Linked DNA regions of Arabidopsis thaliana. The protein of the gene in region 2 purifies or fractionates together with the protein of the main gene of each other region. This does not show direct contact. Each region holds a gene or a part of one and is shown on either strand. Other genes may lie near its edges. The genes, in order: LFR, CHR23, AT3G01890 and AT1G32730.

The links.
Region 1: the proteins of CHR23 (region 2) and LFR fractionate together in Arabidopsis thaliana (co-fractionation; one large-scale study listed by BioGRID). This does not show direct contact.
Region 3: the proteins of CHR23 (region 2) and AT3G01890 fractionate together in Arabidopsis thaliana (co-fractionation; one large-scale study listed by BioGRID). This does not show direct contact.
Region 4: the proteins of CHR23 (region 2) and AT1G32730 fractionate together in Arabidopsis thaliana (co-fractionation; one large-scale study listed by BioGRID). This does not show direct contact.

What each region holds. Positions count from the first base shown.
Region 1 is NC_003074.8:8,161,911-8,167,301, forward strand, and holds LFR (ARM repeat superfamily protein), read left to right. Parts: upstream 1-2,030; 5' UTR 2,031-2,104; coding exon 2,105-2,297; intron 2,298-2,394; coding exon 2,395-2,564; intron 2,565-2,647; coding exon 2,648-2,781; intron 2,782-2,878; coding exon 2,879-3,135; intron 3,136-3,334; coding exon 3,335-3,440; intron 3,441-3,533; coding exon 3,534-3,672; intron 3,673-3,763; coding exon 3,764-3,891; intron 3,892-3,979; coding exon 3,980-4,235; 3' UTR 4,236-4,440; downstream 4,441-5,391. Other genes in the region: AT3G22980 (Ribosomal protein S5/Elongation factor G/III/V family protein), read right to left, coding at 1-1,406. UniProt on the Arabidopsis thaliana protein: Involved in leaf and flower development. Plays roles in leaf development partly by associating with AS2 and repressing KNAT1/BP transcription. Required for the formation of anther cell layers and normal expression of genes that regulates anther development.
Region 2 is NC_003076.8:6,496,778-6,504,483, reverse strand, and holds CHR23 (homeotic protein regulator), read right to left. Parts: upstream 5,742-7,706; 5' UTR 5,579-5,741; coding exon 5,402-5,578; intron 5,223-5,401; coding exon 5,066-5,222; intron 4,958-5,065; coding exon 4,893-4,957; intron 4,800-4,892; coding exon 4,611-4,799; intron 4,469-4,610; exon of another isoform or gene 4,445-4,468; coding exon 4,295-4,444; intron 4,154-4,294; coding exon 3,773-4,153; intron 3,692-3,772; coding exon 3,432-3,691; intron 3,354-3,431; coding exon 3,138-3,353; intron 2,934-3,137; coding exon 2,726-2,933; intron 2,633-2,725; coding exon 2,479-2,632; intron 2,375-2,478; coding exon 1,769-2,374; intron 1,684-1,768; coding exon 1,052-1,683; 3' UTR 792-1,051; downstream 1-791. Other genes in the region: AT5G19300 (methyltransferase C9orf114 protein), read right to left, coding at 6,497-6,562, 6,654-6,731, 6,855-6,924, 7,030-7,109, 7,196-7,314, 7,462-7,534, 7,645-7,706. UniProt on the Arabidopsis thaliana protein: Probable chromatin-remodeling factor that is functionally redundant with CHR12 in root and shoot stem cell initiation and root apical meristem (RAM) and shoot apical meristem (SAM) maintenance. Can associate with the promoter region of WOX5.
Region 3 is NC_003074.8:307,899-312,781, reverse strand, and holds AT3G01890 (SWIB/MDM2 domain superfamily protein), read right to left. Parts: upstream 2,776-4,883; 5' UTR 2,451-2,775; coding exon 1,126-2,450; intron 1,062-1,125; coding exon 1,010-1,061; 3' UTR 709-1,009; downstream 1-708. Other genes in the region: CYP94B2 (cytochrome P450, family 94, subfamily B, polypeptide 2), read left to right, coding at 1-423; AT3G01880 (vacuolar sorting-associated protein (DUF946)), read right to left, coding at 3,222-4,883.
Region 4 is NC_003070.9:11,838,819-11,844,061, reverse strand, and holds AT1G32730 (electron carrier/iron ion-binding protein), read right to left. Parts: upstream 3,153-5,243; 5' UTR 2,986-3,152; coding exon 2,864-2,985; intron 2,571-2,863; coding exon 2,509-2,570; intron 2,226-2,508; coding exon 2,138-2,225; intron 1,920-2,137; coding exon 1,817-1,919; intron 1,715-1,816; coding exon 1,106-1,714; 3' UTR 754-1,105; downstream 1-753.

The DNA.
Region 1 (5,391 bases), on a different chromosome or scaffold from region 2:
CCCTTGAGGGGATCATATAGGGCGGTAATTACAAAGACTCTTTGCCCAGCCCGAAGTACCCCGCTAAAGATCCTAGCAAATGCAAGGAAGCACTCATCTGACTCGCTTTTACTGTCATCATCATTTAAACCGTTCATCCTCTCTCTGTGATTTCCATCTTGAGGAATCATTTTCATTGGAATAGCAAACATTTTCGACACAAACACAACACAAGGACTGTCACTGCTAGAATCACAAGCCTCGATTGATTTTCTAACAAGCTCTGCTTCTGCCAGGACACTTGAATCAACATCATCACCACCAATAATTTTCCTTTCTGGAACCAAGCGTGGGATTCTATATGCCTGTGCTGCAATGGGGTCTGGCAGATGTTTCACAGCCATAGACAAGACTGCATCAGACAGAGGAAGCCAACGGCTCATCACCGATTGAAGCACGTTTTTTGGATCCTTGTTCTGAAGTTCGCGTGGTGGAATAGACAAATTGAAAGATTTGATAACTTTCTCAAGAACGGCTTTATCCCCACCAGGATCTAGTGCAGCTTCATAAACCTGCCACAAAGGCTCAAGCACAAACTGCACAAACATTGGTTTCGCCTTGCTTCCAGCACTTAAATTCTTCTTCCCTACTATCATCTTAGTCTTAGGAATATAATAACGAGGACCCCATAACGATTTCTGCAACGCAGTCGCACTAGCTCCAAGCTTGGAGGCATAAAAATTAGCAAACTCCGCAATCCCAAAACCCCACCCGTCTAAAGCACACACGAATACTACATTACCTTTCTGAGGCTGAAAAGTAACTTCTTCATCATCCTCCAACAACTCAAGACTCTCAGCAGACAACTCCCCTGAAGGACTAGCAAGTATAGAATCAACATCCGACAAATACTTCTCTGACTTATACGCACTCACAATCCCGTTAACCTCATGAACAATCCTAATCAAACGAGTATACGCCTCCATAGGACTCAACCTCAACTCAAAAATCAACCTATCAATCTTATTAAGCACCAAACAAGGAGTCAACTTCTCTATCCAAGCTTGACGCAACACAGCATGCGTTTGAATATGAACTCCCTCAACAGCATCAACCAAAACCAACGCACCGTCACTTAACCGAGCAGCTGTTGAGACTTCACTACAGAAATCCATATGACCAGGAGAATCAATCAGGTTCAAAGAATAGTCTTTATATTTAAGAGAAATCGAAGAGCTCTTCATCGTGATTGCACGTCTCTGTTCTTCATCTAGATAGTCCATGAACCTAAGCTTCCCGGCAAGTCTCGGGTGAAGAACACCGCCACCGGAAGAAGCAATTAGGTGATCGGCGAGAGTCGTCTTACCGTGGTCTACATGTGCTAGTATACATATGTTCCTAACTTTCCTACCTTCAGATTCATCCATCTCTTCAATTTACAAAACACACAGCTACCTGCAGATTCAATATATACAAGGATTACATTATCAGAATCGATGCGATTCAAATTAGTAGAGAAAACTTCAACAAAACATAATCCAAATCCTAAAACCTTGTGTGAGAGCTCACGAATTTTTGAATCGAATCCACAGAGTTGTGCACGTCTCGTAAGAATCAAAGAGAGATAAAAACGAGAGAGATGCTCTTTGAAGATTCCATAATATTTTAAAAAGTTCGATTCAAAAATTGAGTGATATGTAAAAAAATCACCTTAATCAGTTGATGGAGCTCAGACGTTTGAAGAAGAATGGTGCGAAACTTGCTTCGGCGGCGAAACAACGGCGGCGCAGGGTTTGGCGATTTCCCTCTGCAAGTTTGTCTGTATAAACATATACAAGAAGACGTGAACGTTTTTGATTTTAATTAAACCGGAACCCTGTAAACCAGAGAGACGGTTTAGTGCTCTCTTTTAACAATTTTAATTATAGTCTCGGACTCTTCAACCGGAATAAACCGGTCTAAAACGTTTTTAATTTCAATTGTACCGAAACCCTCTGACTCACAAAAAGTGTTTAGTGCTCTTTAAACAATTTTAATTTTTAAATCGTCTTGGGACTTTTAAACCGGAATAAATCTTTCGGGTCAAAATTTCCGAACCCTAACTTTAGCCCCAAATTAGAGAGAGATGCAGAAACGGGAGCTTGGGAAATCCGGCGGTAATTCCGGTGGATCTTCGGGTCCACCAGCGAAGAGAGGCCGTCCCTTCGGTAGTACAAGTGCTAACTCAGCTGCTGCTGCTGCAGCGGCGGCAGCAGCGGACGCGATGTCACCGTCAGCTTTACTTGGTCCTTCTCTTCTAGTTCACAATTCCTTCGTCGGTAAGCTCGCAATGACCACTCTATAATTCCTCTCTGTTTTCTTCTTGTGAACGAGTTTTTAATCGGTAATTTTCATTGGGATCATTGGAATTTATAGAGCAGAACAATAGAAGAATAGTTCTTGCGTTGCAGAGTGGTTTGAAGAGTGAGGTGACATGGGCATTGAACACACTTACGTTGCTTTCCTTCAAGGAAAAAGAAGATATTCGAAGAGATGTCATGCCTCTTGCTAAGATAGCTGGCTTGCTTGATGCCCTTCTCTTAATTGTGAGTTTATTTAATTGTTTAGGTGTTGGGATTGTGTTTTCCTCTCTGTTCTTTGAACCAACATGATGCTAAAACTTTGGCAGATAGATGATTGGCGTGACATAGCTCTCCCAAAGGACCTGACAAGAGGAACTAGAGTTAGAACTTTAGGTACAAATGCTTCAGTTACGGGATTTGGCAATGAGTATGATGCTCTAGCCTCTATTCAACCCCCTGGGTGAGCTAATTTCGATACTGCTTTGATTACAGTTTTAAATGATTGTTGCTTATATTTAGAATTAGAACCTAAGTGTTGTTAATATTTGGCCTAGCAGATCCGGGATTGGTTCTTCTGCTGCTGAGGCATTAGGAAAAAAGAGCACTGGTAAACATCAGTCATCTCAGTGGTGGATGGAAGAGGATGGTTTGTTTAATCTAGACGATGAAGGGAGATCAGAGAAACAAATGTGTGCTATTGCTGCATCGAACGTTATCCGCAACTTCTCCTTCATGCCTGATAATGAAGTTGTAATGGCTCAGCATCGCCATTGCTTAGAAACTGTTTTCCAGTGCATACACGATCATATGACCGGTAAGGAAGAATACTAATGTTTTGATACATACAATCCCAACCTTTTTGTTTCTTTTACTAGTTATAATTCCTTACATTTGCTTCTGATAGATTCTTATTTCTTATTGGTTTGAATTGGCTTGAATGTATTCTCTCTGTTTCCTTATTTGCTTGATACTTGATTGGGAACTATGGTCTTAAGACAATCTTTTGTTAACAGAGGATGAAGAGCTGGTCACAAACTCGCTAGAGACAATTGTAAACCTAGCGCATTTGATGGATCTTCGAATTTTCAGCTCGCTTAAGCAGTCATACATCAACATAAAGTGAGAAGTTGTATCTCCCTGCATTCTTAGTTACACAATCCATAACTTGTTTCAAATACCAATGTGAATCATTCATTACTCTTGTGCATATAGTGAAAAGAAAGCTGTTCAAGCTGTGGTCGGAATCCTCAATTCTTCTGTCAAAGCTTGGAATTGTGCTGCTGCTGAGTTGCTAGGGCGTTTGATAATCAATCCGGACAATGAACCTTTCATTAGTCCTTTAATTCCGCAGGTTTGTTAACTTCTATAATCTTCATATGGTTTCTGGCTACTTACTCGTTTTAACTAGTATTTAAACCCAACAATGGACCTATCCCTTGCAGATACACAAGCGACTAATCGATCTTTTGAGCATACAAGCCGTTGATGCACAAGCTGCAGCTGTTGGAGCACTCTACAATCTCGTGGAAGTTAACATGGATTGCAGATTAAAGCTAGCAAGTGAGAGATGGTAAACAAAAACTATACTCCCTCTCTATCGAATACAATCAAACTGTTTTTAGATCGCAACAATGACACACCATTATGATCTTTTTCAGGGCGGTTGATAGGTTGCTGAAAGTGATAAAGACTCCGCATCCGGTTCCAGAAGTATGTAGGAAAGCTGCAATGATCCTTGAGAACCTTGTCTCGGAGCCTCAAAACAGAGGATTGCTACTCGCGTATGAGAATGCTTTCGCTGAGCTGCTTTTTCAAGAGGGTAAGTATTCTGATTCATTTGCTAGGATTTTGTATGAACTCACTGCTAGATCTAATAGCAGAGTTGCTTCAGCTAGAGGAATCTGGGGCATGTAAAAGTCTTCTCTAGATTAGTGGGTTTGATTAATTGATTGTGTTGTAAACTTTAATCATTTGCTATGTATTAAAAAAGCAGTGTTGTTGAACAAAAAGTAGATGGATTCTTCTCTCGCATAGCTTCGACATGTGTTTTGTTTGATCTTTACTAAAAACAAATTTGAGATATTTTGTGATTCAAATTGAAAATAAAATAACCCAAATAATCACGTTTTGACGTTAGAATAGTGTATTGGTTAATCATATTCATATACTATACAATAAACTAACAAGAATTAAGTCACACATAATACAGTGTTTTGTCTTTACATTTTTTGTTATTATTACTCTTTCTTCAAAATCAATGTGTCTTTTCTTGTAGACGAGGAGACGTTTTCTCTTGTTATACATTTTTATTTGGATTCGGTTCGTATAGTAGAACATAATTATATTTTGAACAACCATAACCATTAACCACCTAATTAACCCATAAATTGTGACCAACAACTTTCTACAACGCGAACTAGAGCATTTCTACAAACGTTAATTGCGTATTCCACATATATTTTGCTAAACTTGAATTTCGTGAAGATTTTAGTAACCTTCTTCTTTGGTATATTATGGAGTTGAAAGAATATATAACCGTTGCTTTAAACACACATACCTGTATTTCGAGACAACTCATCTCAAAACTAAACTCTAAAATCAAGTTATTGCAATCTTTCTTTCTTTATGTTCATACAAGATAGTGGTTAACTGATTCACACACTAAACATTTGGTAGAAAAATATCAGAACAATAAGAAGAATATATTTGGAAAATGGTTTGATTGGTGATATAAAATTAGTTAGTGGTTAAAGATGAATGTATAGATAGAAGTGATAAGAGATGGCTTTGAATCTTTCTTTTTGTTTCTGCTAATTTGATGGATATTCAAGCGGTATATTTTGTATCGATCAAATTCTTTATGCTATTGAGATATCTTTAACTTGGAGCGCATTATTGAAACTTTCTTGTATATAATGATTTTTTTACCTTGTTGTATAATATATGTTCATTATATAGTATGAGTAAAGTTGAAGGAGGGAGATTTTATTTAACATGTCTATTAAGAAAACAACATTTGGTGGTTGGGGAAGAAACCAAATCTAATTTTCTAATTGTAGTGCTACTTGAA
Region 2 (7,706 bases):
TTTCATCTATTTATCCTATTTTGCCAACGTATTATAAATTTAGATACCTAATGCTATTTCCCGATTTAATGGATCAAATTTCCTTTTGTTTCACCGGTAATTATAGATCAGTTATCTTTTTCCAGATTCATGTTCATGTTGATCAAAACAATTCTTGTTATATATGTTGAGGGCAATCTAAACAGTCATTCTATTTGCAAAATCACCAATACTAGTATATTAGGGTATTTGATCCAAGTATTGTAAAACTAAACTTGCAAAGGTTGCTGTGATGATGGTAGAAAAGATTTGATGTCCATTTGTAACTTGAAAGAAAAACAAATGACTTGATTCTTGAGAAATCAGGCCAAATTACCAAAAACAAAACTTAGGGGGTGTTATGTATTTGTGATTTAAATAGAATTTTAGTGACTTAAAATGTTATGTAGAATCTGTTGTTATTTAATCAAGATTTTTTAAAAATATGTTAAAGTTTGGTGTTATTAGTTTAAAATTTGTAAATAGTAGTATAAAATCTTCATAAATCTGGAATTGTTGGATTCCTACTTTATATAGTCAATAAAAGTTTTGTGTTATTCAATTAAAACAAAAGAATCTATGATTGTTAATGAATTAAATTATTATGTTATTAGTTTATAGTTTTTTTTTTACATTTTTCTTTACAAAATAAAGTCATGAAAAATATCATCAAAATAGAGAGATTGGTTGGAAAACTACAAGATTATGAAAAACCAATCTAAAAGATTTTAAAAAAACCTCTAGCAAGCAATAGTTTAAAATATTTCATTTGTTTACTTTCTATAATTTTATTAAAATCATCAAAATTCCTTGTAAAATAGGAACTAATAACCACCCTATTAAATTCAACGGTCGATATCTATATTTTTTTTCCAATTTCCCCCTCTCATCTTTTTAAGCTCTGAATTCTAAAAAGATATATTTTTCACAAGGTTTGAATTATAAAAAAAACAGACAAATTTATGAGAAAATGGCTCGATGCTTAATACTTGTAGACCAACTCAAATGCCTAATACTTGTAGAAACCTTATTCTCAGTTTCGTTTACTTCCTTTTGAGCTACCTTTACCTCTAGAATTAGGTGAAGAAGTCATAACAGGGTATCTTGACCGTTTCTTCTTATTAGTTTTCCAACTATGTAATGGCTTCTCATTTTCTTCTTCACTCTCTTTCCCACTCTCCTCCTTCCTTTCTTCTTCTTCTTCTTCTTTTTCCTCATCGCTTTCACTCAACACAGCCTCTGCCTTTGACCCATTACTCATTCTTGTCTTTGTGTCCGTTCTCTTTCGTTTCTGAGAGACTTTGGAAGCATCTTCGTCTTCACTCTCCATCGCTTTCATCCACTGCAAATCGCTTAAAGAGTCGCTATACACTGCTTCTTTTCGTTTCCGTTTACCCGTGAGGCTACCAAAATGGTTTTTCGCGTTAGTCTTGTCTTCTTGAGTCTCTGAAGTGTAAGCCCACTCGGGAACTTCCTTCTCTTCCATGAGACGTGTCTTGTAGTTCTCCTTTTTACGTCTTTCCTCGTCCATTTGTTCAAACATCCAAAACTCTTCCTCAGTTCGAGCTGCGAGCCGGTTAATCTCTCTCTCACTTGGCACATCTTCTCCCAGTGAGCTTGTTCCTTTGCTCATGATCTCTTCCAGCATCTCTCTCCTGTCTTGAGCTGTTGATGATTCAAAGAGATTAGCATGTAGTCTCCAAATCATGTTTTTAGTTGATAAGAATATATATATATGAAGACTTTTTACCAGTAGAAGTTGTGTTGAAGAGCCCTGCTTGTATGACTTTCGCATCGATGCCCATCTTTTGCTTTGCACGCTCCAATATTACTTCTTCAATGGATCCAATGCTAACCAAAACAAAAACTCTCACTTCCTTTTTCTGCCCTATCCGATGAGCACGATCCTCTGCTTGCTGGTCCATTTGTGGATTCCAATCACTGTCAAATATAATTATAGTGTCTGCAGTTTGTAAGTTCAAACCAAGACCACCAGCACGTGTGCTCAGAAGAAACATAAAGTAGGGAGAGTCCGGTTCGTTGAATTGCTTCAGTAAAATCCCTCTTTGGTCTGTCTTTGTGCTACCGTCAAGTCTGAGGTACATGTAGTCATTGAGTGACAAGTAAATTTCGAGAAGGTCAATGAGACGAGTCATTTGAGAAAAGAGCAGAATTCTATGTCCAGCTTTCTTCAGTTTTGGAAGGAGGCGATCAAGTAACTCGAATTTTCCTGAAGCTCTCACAATCTCAGGCTTCTTACACATGTTATAATCTGCTCCAACGAATAGGTACGGATGGTTACAACACTTTCTTAATTGCATTGTCAGATTCTGCAGACTCTTTGATTTCCCATTGCCTGCACATAAGGACTCCATTAGCAATTTAACTTCCTGACTTATGTTCTTTACCGAAAGATGAAAGCATTTTGGAGAGAATGGAAGTTCAAGTTTAGCTACAAACCAGAATGAAGACCGACCCTGCCTACGTCTGTAACTTGTTTGTAATACAATTTTTGCCAAGCCGACATATCACACTTCAGTATGACTTGTGTCTTTCCAGGAAGGAATTTCTCAACCTCACTTTTTTTCCTTCTCAGTAGAAACGGCCTTATGACCTGAAAGTGACATTAACATCAAGTATCATGCATAACGCATTTTCTATAAAAGAAAAAGGGTCTAAACCAAAAAAAGGTGCATAATAAACCCACATGATGCAGACGGTTAATAATCAACAGCTCCTCTTCATCTGTAAGACTGGCACTACCACATTCTGCGAATGGAGTATTAAACCATTCTTCGAAATTATGAATTGAGTTAAAGATGTGAGGAAGAAGAAAATTAAGCAGCGACCATAGTTCTTGCAGACTGTTCTGTATGGGAGTTCCAGTTAATAGAAGTCTGCGCTTAATCCGGTAGCTGCATCCAGGACAAATTAGTGTAAGCAAAATGTCTTTAAATTTCCTTTGTGACAGTATCTTTAAGAGATAAATCAGAGTAACAACTAATTAACACCATTCACTTCAGACTTCATCAAGCTAATGCGTAAAAAGGCATGTCTAAACATCTTTAAGAAACTAGATACAGTCTACTCAAAGACCAGAGTAACATACAGAAACATACCCAGTTCCTAGAGTCTTTGCGAGAGCACATTCATGGTTCTTCAGACGATGTCCTTCATCAACAATCATGTAGTTCCAGTCAATTTTCTTCAAAAATGCTTTATCTCTCATGATAAGATCGTAGTGGGTTATCAACACATTAAATTTTCCTCCTGCTATTCTTGCTCTTATTTCAGTTCTTTTCTCCTTTGATCCATCGTAAAGAAAAGCGGAAATGCTGTCAAATGGACAAAAATGAAGCAACGTTCATACACTCCATATCAATGTAATTAATGGAGAATAAATTGGAACATACCTGGGTGCCCATAATGCAAACTCATTTTCCCAATTTGGTAGCACAGCTTTTGGAGCCAATATTAGATGAGGCCCATGAAGATCTTTACTCTCAAGAAGATACGCAATCAGTGCAATCGTTTGGATAGTCTTTCCTAAACCCATTTCATCAGCTAAAATGCCATTATAGTCATTGTTGTATAGAGAGACCATCCATTGAAGTCCTTCTAATTGATAGGATCTTAGTTCCCCACCTTGTAGAAGGGATGGCTGCTTTGTCACCTGTTAAAAAAAGCATTGATAGCTGACTTAAACAAACTTAACAGTACTCATATTAAATACTTGTAAAACAATCATAGTTACCTTCTCTTGTATGGAATGGATAGCCAAGTTAAACTGCCTCTCGCCTTCTAGTAAGTCATTAGAATCATCATTATTGTCAGAGTCAATGATCTCAATATCTTGGGCAGGAAGCACATCCTCAGGAGCATCAACATCAGATAAGTCAGATTCTGAGCCTTTCAGTAATTTGGTGTTTTCTGAAAGTTTGGCATCTTTCTGACGCTGGACTGCAGCCCCCAAACTAACAAAGATTTTGTTTGTCTCCTCTAGAAAAAGGGTTAGTTTTTCGTTCTTACTTTCCTTTGCTAGTTTCATGTATTCCTCTTGATCATCAGATTTAAGGGCCATGATCCTTAGTTTTTCAGCTCGGGTGGCACGTTGCCTTTGCTTTCCATGCCAGGCCTGTTAGATAGATGGCAATAATTTCTGTTTGTAAGACTTTGTATATTTATGACGTTTAAGGATATACATAACTCAATTATATCATGGGTTCAATGACAAGAAAAATGAGCAATGAAAAACATAAGGGCAGAGATATCATACCTGGACACCATCATTTCTTTGCTTACACCGTCTATGAGACGCCTGAATTTGCAACTGGAATTCACGAACAGCATTGAGTACTTCTGCAAAGAATTTCCTCTGTGTCGTTTCAATCAGATTCTTCTCCTCTTCTTCTAACCGTAATAACCTCTGAACAAAGAGTTTAAAAAATCATCAAATAGTATCAGCATATATGAGATGTTCCTATCATCTCAAAACGCCATCAGTTTCCATTCGAAGAAAGACTTCATCACTATAGGTAAAAATATAAAATCTGGGAGCAAGCAATTTTGCGTTGGATTAGAAAGCAAATGACCTCGGCATCACGCTTGTTCCTGAACTGATCATCAGCTTCCATAACAAAAGAATCTCCAACCCCATACATTCGGCGAGGCAACCGCATCATGCCCCAATCATATAGTTGTCTCTCCGGATCTGCACAATTCAAACGCAGCCAGTATTCCGCACTCACCTCACCCCGAACCCTGCATTGTAGTTCTTGTAACTGCCATAAACAAACGAGACAGTGTCAGTGTCAAGGAAATCATATTTTAAACAATGTCTGACAATAAAAAAGATCAGCTAGTGTCACACATACCTTAAGACCATAAAGCTCAAGTAAGCATTTTTCCTGCAAATCTTCACCTCTATTGGAAGGTAATCCTGATTTTTTTTAAAAAAAAACACAAGAGTAAGCATTCATCTCACAGGATAATTGGCTCCATAGGCTTTTTCAAAAAATTACAAGCAGCATAGTCAAACAGCAATCACCTTCAAGTTGAGATAATCGGTTGTGGATACGATTCTTATACCGAGTTTCCTTTAACTCGGCTAGTCGAGAGCCTGATTCATAGTTTAGTCGCTGTTGCAAAAGTGCATCTTCGAACTCGCTCATCAAATCACCTCTATTGGGAGTATAACTATTTCCCTGCAAAATCCAAGCATATAACTTCATCCAAAAATCACAAAAATCAATGAATTCGGATTCATCGAATTCGAGAAGGAAACTCCAAGGAATTGGTTAGAGAAGGAGTTGAAGAAGCACAGAGCCAGAAAATTCGATTCACAACCACAAATCCTAACATGCAAATCGAAGAAACAGCTTACACGAAGAGGCGGAGAAGGAGAGAGATCGGAGACGGAGGCATGGTAAATAGAAGAAACGGAAGCGTAAAGGTGAGAAGGCAAGAGAAGGTCGCGAGAAAGGTAGTTAAGAGCAGAGATCAGAGACTTTGTCTTCTCGACGGGATCGTTCTCCTCCTGCTCTTGTAGCTGCTTCACCATGGCGGGAGTTTCTAATTAGATTATTTAATTTTCTGTTGCCGTTCCGTTTTTATTATTTTTGTTTTCTCCAAATCTCTCTATCGCTGTTGCTTTCGAGTTTTTAGCCCCGAAAGATAAACGAGACGGGAGAGAAATCGATATCACGAACGATTATTTAGTCGCTCACGCGCACCGGTCTATTAGGGATAAGGAGGGTCTTAACCCCTTTCTTTCCGCTTTTACTATATTACCCTTCTCTATTTTGGGCCGGGCGTTTATGCTTAATTTTAAATATATTGTAAATTAACGGCCCACTTCACGTAATTGTTAGTAAACTACATACCCATTATATAACAAACGTAAGTTTCAATACTTGGCAATGATATTATTATTAGAGGGTGTATCGGATCTAACAAGATTTTTTATATAATTTTAATGATTTTAGAAAAGTTAATGTGATTTATTGTAAAACTTTTTTAAAGTTCTATCTAAAACTATGAGATTTGAATTTCTGTATTTTTATCTAAAGAAATTTTCTAAAATCCTCTCAAAATTAATAAGAATGAAATTCACAAATTGTTTTCAATAACAGTAGATTTAAAGGTAGATTTTTAAATCATTAGCTCAATACCACTAGATTTCATTAGAATTTTAAAAATCCATGATTGAATAACACATAATTTGTGAACTTTACACAAATCACTTAAAATACTAGATTAAATACACCCCTCTTAAATTTGTTACTCAGTGTAAAAATTGAGTACACTTCGTGTGCCACACTGCCACTAATGGAGGAAAATTGTAAGAACCCAAAATTGGGATAGTACAAGAATAAACACTTGGTCCAAATTCTAAAACAGTTACATTACATCACTCTTTTTCAGACAAACCTCAGATCTATGAGAACAAAATAGCTTCTTTGACTCTTTTTATCGAAGCTTAAAGTCTTCTCACTGCCCTGCTGATGGGTTCCTGGAAGTACTGAAGTGATATAAACATCGCTTCCTGCATATTTATTACACAATGTCCTCAGCTCAATCATCCCGGAACATAAGAAAAGGAAAAAACACAACTAATAAGAAAAGTTTGTGAATACCTCTGCTCGAATGGTTCGGCTACCTTGATGTGGACAAGTATTCAAGTATACATTAAACACATCTCGAACGTTTTTCCCCTGTAAAACAAAGTCTTTTGCTTAGTGTCCATATCAAACACATGTAGTATAGACCAAAACAGCTTTAGATCTTTAAGAACTTTTTAGTCACTGTGAGAGACAAAGAGCTGAATATGAGGTTACCTTATACTGATTATCATCTTCAATACTTTCTTCAAGCCCAGCAAGTCCACCAAATGCAATCAATAGGTGCCTATGATTTCAAGCCATAACCATTGGAGTCAGTCCCCCAAATTTAAACGGCTAATAATGTGTTTAGACACAAACTTATACCATGTTAAGGGGAAATGAGAATCACCTAAATGTTGGTATTTTCAGCTCAGATGAACTAATTACCAGGCCGTGCTCCGAGGTACCAATCAAATAATCGTAACCACCCTGCTTTTGGTATTAGGAAATAAGGTTATGCAGGAAATATGATCTAAGTTGTAGAAGGATGTGGAGACGAGTATCATTATTATTACCTCGAAAGGGCATTCCTTGAATACTGAACTTAATTGTGATGCATATCGTACTTTGTATCCCCAATACATTCCTGCTTCTTCCCTTGGCTTAGAGGGTGGAACAATCTGGCGTACCAAATCTACATGAACCAAATTCAAAATATATTAACTCAACAAGTAGATGTAGGTAGCTTAGAGAAACGTATATAAATGATCTAAATAGAAATTTAAAGAAAGAAAACAGATATGCATATGGTAACTTGAAAGAAAATAGAGATTATCAGTACCTAAATCGTGGTCAGTTCCCATGGCTACCGTGACTCTAATTCCTGGACCCAGCACTTGATCAACAACAACACTCTGCATCACGAGCATCGAATAAAGGTCAATCTCATGCAAAAAATGTGTAAAACAAACAGGTAAAATGGAGGCCAACTGAGATATAACAAGCTGAGAGGAAGTAACGATACCTTGCTTAAACCCACATCAACCAATGTACCCTCAGAATTTGGAGCCTTTTCACTCAGTGTCA
Region 3 (4,883 bases), on a different chromosome or scaffold from region 2:
GTGCCGTGGGACTCCAAACACGCCTTAACCGATGACCGGTTACCAGACGGTACGTTGGTGCGTGCCGGAGACCGGGTAACGTATTTTCCATATGGTATGGGGAGAATGGAAGAGCTATGGGGGGAAGATTGGGATGAGTTTAAACCAAACCGGTGGGCTGAGTCTTATGATAAAACCTGCTGCAGAGTTTTGAAAAAGGTGAATCCGTTCAAGTTTCCGGTTTTCCAAGCCGGCCCAAGGGTTTGTCTTGGGGAAGAGATGGCGTACGTGCAGATGAAGTATATTGTGGCTTCCATACTTGACCGGTTTGAGATTGAACCGATCCCTACGGATAAACCGGATTTTGTGCCAATGCTCACGGCTCACATGGCTGGTGGGATGCAAGTCCGCGTTCATCGGAGAGATCCTTCTCTTTCCCCTTGAATATACAAACAAAGTCAATTATCATGGCTTTTTATTTTATGTAAAACGTCTCTATGATCATTCATACCCAAAATTATTTTCTCCTTTGGGTAAACAACTCAACTTTTTTTTTTTTTTTTTCAATCCAAGTCATAAAGTCTCTACTAAATTTTTGAGTTTTGAAGAAAATTCAACCAATATTAGCTCAGTTATTATATTTTTGTTTGAAAATGACCCATTTTGCATTTGTTATCATCTTGGGATGATGACTATATTAAAAGTTCAACGTGAGAGCACAATGCCTTGGTCTTTTTCTATCCATAATAATACGTACGTTATTATTATTCTACAAGACTAGATCGAGCCAATTGGAAGTCAGTACGTGGAATCTACAAAAGAAAGTGAAAAAGTCAAGTATTTATCTTTCTTATATTTTGTCGCATATGATGCACGAGCTACAAACCAAAGTAAAAACTCTTGAAACTTGAGTAACAATGTTTCACTTAGAAAAAAAACCTATAAGGAACGACACTGATCAAGTGTCCTGGACCTAAGTGACTTCTAGGTAAAAGTAGTGAACTCATGAACTTCTTGGCCCATCTGCATCTTACCCGCCTGCTGGCTTCCGGTTCAAGTAACGTATTGCAGCATCCTCCACCCTGCAAGAGAATTCTCAGTGATTGTAAGACAAGTGATGAAAAGCAGAACAGTAGAGATTATTACCATGGCTGATTGAAGAACTCTGATCGGCCTTCTTTCTCAGCGTTTCGACTTGCTTCTCCTGCAACAAGCTTCAGATCTTTGGTCTGAGATTCCATCAAGGCATTGGTGAATTCCACCGGTGACTGGCTAAACCCTAAGAAAAACGCCCGTCTCCTTCTGTGCTCGTGGATTTTCCTTATGGCTCCGCATATGGCTTCATCACATGCCTCAATCTCTTTGTTCTTCTCTGGATTAGCGAGCAGATTGGAAAGCTCCGTTTGGACCGGTGCTGGTATGTCCACAAGCACATCGTAACATGCTGAGATGGCTGGATTGTTCCCCGAAAGCTTGATCTTGTGTACAAGCTGAATGGGAGGCGGAGGTGATAGGTGCTGAGATATCTTATGAGAGAGCATAGTGAATTTCATCTTCTCTTCCCCAAAAACACTGTGGAGAGCAGCATCACAGTTGAAGAAAGAAGGGTCGTTTGGGTTTTGCAGTTTCCTGACTTTCACGTAATGCCAGATTGCCGCAATGATTCTTGGGCGAGTGTCAACCTCAATGCCCAAAACTTGCATCAAAGCAGGAGAAGTCTTGAACTTCTCAGGGACGTAATTCATCTCCAACAGTATAGTAGCTGCAAACTCCTGACACCCTATCCTCTTTATCTCAAACCCTTCCAGAGGAGCAGGCGATCGATCCCTTTTCCATTCGATCAGATGGTTCTCAGGATACAGGCTCTGGTCCAGGGATATCTTTAACGTTTTGAAGAAAGACGAGAACTTGGGATAAAGTGGGTTTGAATTCTGAACTAATCCACCAGTGTGGTCAGGATCCAGGACCCTGCCGAAAATCCTAAGAGTCCATGTGGGAGGGTCAGGACCAGGGATCTGGTTGGAAAAGGTGTTGAAAACGTAGATCCTAAGGGTCTTCTGAATGGAAGGAGGGTTCTTAAGGGAGTCTTGGATGTCAACTTTCTTTCTGAAGAGAGCGGCATCAACCCGAGACTCAAACTCAAGAAGCTGTGTGTAGAGAGCAGACTCGGGCAAGACGGCAGCAACGCGCTCCTGCAAGGAGGACTTGTCTGGAAGCTTATGTTTCTTTTTCCTGGAAGCTGGAGTCAACTCCATACTAGGAGGAACAGCAGGAGGTCCTCCAATGGGAGGTTTATGTGGGAACCTTCTTCCAGGAGCACTAATCCCTTGGTCTTGAGAGAGCTGAAACTGAGGTTGAAAGTTAGGAGGGGCCATGTGGGAGGGAGCAAACGATGCAGAGGCCATTCCAAATGGCCAAGGCAGAGAGCTTTGAGGCCCTTTTAGTGCGTTCAACTCGTTATTCCCAGACATTGCTGATCACAAAAAATTGAATACAATCCCAAATTGGTGTCGACAGTAGTTACTCAGTAATTTTGGCTAGAAGAACCTCATCAAAATCACAACACACACACTCTATCGAATTTTGCCCTTTCTAAGCCGAACGTAACCCTAATTTAGTGCTGCGCGAGGATAGAGCCCTAATCAATTTCCCCCCAAATCTAAATAGTAAGATATAGGACACAACTTCTTCTTCTTCAATACAGCAGAAAGCGTATAATCTCAACTCCAGGAGAAAGAAAACAAATTCAATTCCCTCTGGAAGAAGAAGATGAAGATGATTCTTCTTCGAAAAAAAAAAAAAAAAAAAGACACGGCGGACCTATCAATGCCCACCTGAATTCTTCAACCGGGTCAAAACCCAACCATTAGTTAAAGGCCCAACGGCCATGGTTCGTGGGTCCATATTTAGATGGATCAATATTGCTTCTCGGCAATAAATCTAATTCCATGACTATAGGTAAAAAATCAAATTAAATCTAATCCAAATTATTTTTAAAAAAACTCTTAATAATCTACACCAATTTATTTCCAGATAAATACTATTTTTTAACTCTAAAACTAAGATCATGACAACCTTTTTTTTTCCCAAATAACTCTAAAATTTTTAATTAGCACATCTACATCTTAATTCTTAACAGATTCTATAGTATTATTGTTACTAATTAGAAATTACAATGATTATTTTCGACAAATGTAAACCTTATTGATATATAACATAATGCAATAATTCACAATAAAACACTAAGAATATTGTTCATCACCGGTCCAAGTCACCTTAACTTTGGGACCAGTTGGACCATCTTGACCCCGCATTTCTAAAGGAATTTTGTTGATGAGTTTTCGCAAACCTTTCCGTAAAAAGATGGGCAAAATCTTTGCGACAGAGTTGAGAAATATGTCAATCCTGTAATGGACTCGAGGTCCCCATTTCCTAAAATAATTCAGCCACGGTGGCTCAACCACGCCAGGTCCCGCAATCACTTCATATCCAATACCTGCGTCAAAGCATTTGTCGCTTCTTGCCATGTCGTTCCTTATTCCACTTTTGCCGCCACCTTGCAACACGACTCCAGGTTTGGAGAACATTGCATGCCCATGAAGAGACGAATATACTACTGGTTTGTTTCCACCTTGCATGAACTCTAGATCGCATGCATCCACTAAAGTTCCTCCACTGTGTTCAGAAAAGTAAACACGCCATAACTCACCATTGAAGTTGCTGATGCGTAATGTAACGTGTTCCCAGTCTCCAACATGCTCGCCAATATTTCCTAGCGACAGGCTCTTGATAAACAAAAATTTTAAATGTGCATTTCCGTTATAGGGAAAGAATAGCCATACTACAATATCTGTGAAAGTAGCTCCAAACATTGGTTTGATGTGTAGATACACCTTAGTGCTCTCTAAATCTCCCCTCTTAACCTTTTCTCTAGCCTTTTTATCGACTAGATAATCTAACCAAAACAAGTCATCATTGCAACCTCCTTGTGGAAGGTTTGAACCATTTGGATGTATCGGGACCGGGATGGATTCGTTTCCTTTCTTGTGTAGCAAGGCACCGTTAGCGAAAACCCAATTGACAGAGGAAGGAAGGAAATCTTCTTTTGGGTGTAAATATATCCAAGGAGAATACGTTTTAAACAAAACTCTAGTTTGATTTTCGCTTGGCATGCTTGACAAGTCAAATTTTGTATTTTTTAAGCAGAATAAAGGAGGGGGATGAGGAAGAAAGTTTAGTTGTTTGCAGCTGAATGTCCCTGTGAACACACCTGTCGCCTCTACTCCTCTCGTGGCCGGTCTCAAACTAGAAATAGTCATATCTTTTATCCTCCATACCCATGTATCGGCTTCACTCTGTTCTGTGAGATCAGATCGAACACAGCTTATAGAATTTTGTCCCAAAGAGGGCTTCATAGGAGAAGTAGTGACATATAGACCAACCGCATGATATCCATTAGGACATAGGGGCTGCCAAAAATATGCAGGCCCCTCTTGTTTGATAAGCAATGTTGTAGTGTTTCCAACTTCAGTGTAGTCGACTGGTGGTCTTAAATTACTTCCCGATACGTCTTTTGCAACAAGAATCCAACCAAAAAGCTGTCGGTTGTTAGGTTGTGCATAGAAGCCAAGTTTGAAGAAATTACGAGGAATAGTAGTTGGTTCAAAGATGCTGACTCCCATGTTATCCGGCCCTCCTTCATAAGTTCTCCACACTCTGTGTGATGTTGAGTTTGAGATAGAGATTTGAGTAACCTCAAGACCTCCCATATCAATGCTTCTTTTGCCAAAATTTCCACCATCGGAAGGCATACTAGGCAAAGGACTAGGAAATTTAAAGCTTGTTTCCACCGGTAAACCATTAGACGAAAGATAAGGATATTTGAATGGATACCCTAAAGAATT
Region 4 (5,243 bases), on a different chromosome or scaffold from region 2:
CAGTAAATATATTTTTTATTCTATCTGAGAAAAAAATCATTAATCATGTAGATTCTAATTTCAAATATATAATAAAGCATGCAAAATAAATAAATTAATTAAAAATTTAACTAAGAAGTTTCAGATTTAAACCCATAATCTCTTCTAAAAAATGAATAATACATATCAATTTAGTTTCTTTTTCACCAACGGTGAAATCGACATTTTTTTTTATTTTTTGGAACTTCGGATGGTACATTGATGAAGCTACCAAAACCAAGTACTAAATGTGTTACGTATTATATAACTTTTTAAAATAAATACATAATAAAAATTAATATTGAAAATGATTACACAATTATCTTACAATTAAAAATTGTTACACCAACCCTTCGTAGAAATATTAGGTGGTAACAAAAATAAATTAATGATTATTGAGAGCTTAACTTATAATGAGCTCATTTGAGTTGTTTGATCCTCAAGTCCCAACCACCAACCCATAACCCATTCAACATGTTTCCAGTTGGTTTGCATAATGTAAATGAATACTACACACACGAGACAACCACAACATGCATATATGAATAAGATATATATGGTTGAAATTGGAAACAAACTAAACGTTATTTTTACTTTTTAGTTCCACAAAAACTTTTGGATATGTTTTGATCAATAGTGGAATTGGGGCAGCAAAACAAAACTAGAATCTAAGAGTTTGGTTTTAGTCGTTTTCAAATATACGTGTTGAAAGTGGCCTATGGATGGATGGATTCATTTTTTTCCAAAAAAACAAACCGGTCTAATTAGACTGAGCGGTTATCCAATACCAAACCAAACCAACTATTTATTAAGTCAAAGGTAATCCAATGAGCAATTTCAAATCTAACAAAGCAACAACACACAGTGAAAAAAATCCAATGAGATAGAATCAACAGCTTTATCCATGGCTGAGTTCTAATATCTAAATGATGCTCAACACTACTTTACAAGAATCTCTTGAGTCTTTGGAGTCTTCAGGATCAGTTTTGAGGGATGTTTGATCATTGTACAATACCGTGGTCACGAAGGATCTAGAAATTTTCTTGCCACTCAAACTTTTCAGTTCATCCACAGGATGTTCTCGACTTCACAACATTCCAACTTTGTCAAAAGATTGGAGATTCTCAGCGATTTTTTGAAGTGCTTCTTCACTCATCTCAACTTTTCGGACTACACCCGGAAAGATCTTGTTCTTCTCGGAAGCAGCAGTGGGAGAAACTTGACCACAGAGCTTTGATTTCATCTCTAAGCAAGATTTGAGATCCTCTTCGGTTCTTGCTTTGTTCAGTTTATCGATTATTTCATTCAAAGCTGAACCTTTCTCTTCCCATTTCTTTCTTTTGACCCGCCTTTTGATATCATCTTGATCATCTGAAGAACTGCCTAAATCCAGTCTCTTAAGCTTCACCAAACCGGCTTTGACTGTCTCCGCGATCCGCTTCTTAAAGCTCTCTGTTCTTGCAGAGTTCGATCTCAGCCTCAGTTTAAGCTCTGAAACAATATTTTCCTCTTTGTTTTGCTCAGGAGCTGCTGTTCCATGACTCTCTTCATCAGGAACAGATGTAAATGAAAATGCTTCTTCGAGTAAATTCACATTACTCATGTACCGATCAAAAGCTTCATTTTCTACTTCAATGTTTCTGTCTCTGTACTCTTTTAGCTTTGTAAACCGCCACTCGTTTAAAGCTTGAGCATCCTATAGAATATAGACAGAACAAAAACTGATAAGAGGAAAACAACTAAATGGAGATTTTTCATAGAGTACTAAAGTCAATGAAAGACGTCTTAATTAGTATACCTTTATCGTCAAAGGTTTTCTCTGGCGGGAAGAAGCATTCAGGTTATTAAACTGAGCAAAGTTGCTAGAAAGTTGCCGGATTGACGAAACTCTAGTGGTACTCCTGAAACAATTTCCAAAAGAAGAAAACGTCAACATAAAGCGCCATATTTTAGTTCCACAAGACCAATATATCATCTCACTATCAACTACGTGCAATAAAACAAGAAAGCTGAAGAATCTCCTATCAAAGTATTAGTAAGCAAACACCGGTTTATCATCTAAGATTCACTTGCCCATGGAAGCACAAACAAAACAGAAAATTAGTTTATATATATGTACCCGGGAGTGCCCTCGGTTGCTTTCTGCTCTGAAGATGGAGTACTTGGCGCCTGCGTCTTCTCACCAGACGTTGAAGCTACTTTAAGAACTGCAGCGAAATAAAACACATAAGAAGAAACACAAAACAGTCCATGATAACATCTCTATATCTCTCAGCTAATCACAAGCACATTCCAAGAATCAGTCTTATGGTTCTTTATAGGTTTTTTTGTCCCGAGACAACCAAACGAACCCTATAGAAGTCAAGAATACTAAACTCTAAACTTACCAAGTGAAAGAATAGAACTCTCCAATCAAAGTTATCAACACTAAACTCTAAAACTGATCACTTTAGCTAATTATGAAGTTGAGATTTGACAGGGCAAACATACCGTGAATCGGGCAGGGATTCTCTGCTCTTGAACAACAACCCTTACAAGATTGAAAAGGGCACCTGCATTTATCAAATCCAAGCAATACAATTACAATTACTTCACCAATAATCTCAAAAAACTGATCTTTCGATACTAAAGCTCAAAACTTTAAACAATCTCCAACAGATTAATCACCAAATCATGAATAAAAACCCAAACCCACAAACCTATGAACCCTAAATCAAAACGAAAAAGTACTATACAAGACAAATTCGAATCCTTTCAGATCAAAAACCCAAGAACAATCCATAAATCGAAACCCCAGATGTAAAAAACCTAAGTCCTTCGATGAAACAATGCGTAGAAGCAATACCTGGAGCGAGCTACATTGCCGCATTGAATACACTTAGGCTTATTGAGACCACGGAGAGTTTTGGGAGGCGTGACGACGGAGGAAAGACCATTGTTACTCAGAGACGGTGACGAAGTCGCCATTGATAAAAAGTAACGGTTTAAATTAAAACCGTTATTCAACGAAAGAGATAACTAACGACCAAATAAAACTCGTGCGAGTGAGTAACAAAAAATTTGGAATCGAAAGGATTGGTTTTTATTTTTTTTTGTCGCTCTGATTTTGCGAAGTGCTCTCAATCGCTCGATTTCACGGCGGGTCTAGGGCTCCGGTTATTAATAATACCACGTGAGTCGTTTTTATATGGGCCTGGGTTTTAAAGCCCAATATAATTTCTCTTTAAATTGAACCGAACTTAACCAAATCATGAACTTTATCCGGGATCAGACTTGTCAGATAAATCAATATAAGCCCAAAAAAAGCCCAAGTAATTAGGTTATTCTATCGAATCAGATTCACATATATATAGACGTTATTGTTCATATGAACAATAGAACATCAATCTAAATAATTTAGTGTTTGCCGTTTGGGCAAATCTTTTTCTTCCTCATCTCTTCCTTCGCTTTGCTTTAGAGTCTTTTCATAAGTAAAAGAAACAAAAACAATAAATCATTCTACTAATTGACTTGTAACTCGAAGCTTTGATTTGGACGTTACAAGTGGTATCAGAGCTTCACACTAGAAGCTTCTAGATAGAAGTCAATTTGGCAGACAAAACAATGCATTTAGATTTTGGTGCATTCAACTTCAGAGTGTTTTCATATTTTTATACTACTCTATACTATTTTGCAATTGATATCGCTTTCTAACTTATTATTCTGATGCATCGATCGCTATATGATTATATTGCGTAACCTTGGCTGATTTTGCAGCTTCAATATACTTAGAGTCAATTTTGTACTTGGCTGATTTTGCAGCTTCAATATATTTAGAGTCAATTTGTATGGACTTGCAGATTTGGATGGGTTAACACATAAAAATATAGTTTATACTTTATAGACATGATTATTTAATTAATTAGTTGATTTATCATTGGTTTTAGATTTAGTAGACTATGAGGACTGTCAAGAGTCCACACGACGATCAAACTAAACAACTCTGATGATAATAGAGACTACAAAACAAAACAGAACTGAACAATTTTACAAAACAACAATTAAAAAGTATAATTTAATCGGAATAATAATATTTGCTCACCAATATATAAATTTTAATTATTCTTCTTCTTTTTATTTATTTGGTAAATATTTAACCATCCATTCATGATTTAACGATTACAATCGAGATAAATACCATTGGATAACAAAATATTACGAAAGATTTCCTCACCAATTCTTCGCGACATAGTGAACGTACATCTCTCAAGTTGTTACTTGTAAATTGCAATCATTCGCATAATCTATGTTGCATGAAAACGGAAACGGAAATGCGGATACGAAACGTTTCGGAAACGGGAAACGATTTTTTCTTAAAATTAGGGATTGGAAACGTTTTGGAAACGTATACACATTTATACATATATATAACATTATATATATATATATAACATTAACATAAAACTATATTAAAGAAAAAATGATTTAAACAATACAAGTCCAAAATATCAATATTAAATAAATAAACTAAAATTCTAAAAGATAAAAATTAAAAGGTTCAAGTTCAAATAGTTAATTTAGACCAACATTTTCATTAGTTTTATCAAAGATAATATAAAGCTCTTTTCAAATCTGGTTTAACAAAAGAAAGATCTTAAAACTCAAAGTCTTCCAAAATTATTTATATGTAATAATAATTTTAATATTTTCAATTTTAGTTATTAAATTTTTAAAGTCAATAAAAAAGATTTGTCGTATGTCTATTTCGGAAACGTGAGTTTCTATTTTGGAAACGTAAGTTTCCATCGTGTTTCTAAACCTAGATTTTTAGGAAACGCGTTTCCGTGACGTTTTTCGTATTTCCGGAGAGTTTCCGTTTCCGAAACGTTTCGGAAACGAGAAACGCACCTCGGAGCGAGTTTCCATGCAACCTAGCGCATAATCTTGCAAAAAAAAACATTAATACATAGGCCTTGGTTATTTTTTAATCCAACTTCTCTATAAATTGAACCTGAACTTAAACCAAATCAGAAATACATAAATCGGTCGGTTTGTGAGGTATTAATCCGAGATATGAGATATTTTTTCTTTTTCTTGTTAACAAATTAAAGGAGCAAGAATCGTCCTTATCAAGTAAGGACTTGATTTTCCAAAATATATTTGAATTCCTTTTTTGTAGGATCTTTTGTGGATCTAGTTGGCAAGAGTGATGTGTATATAAAAATGTTAAAATTGATTAATAGCCA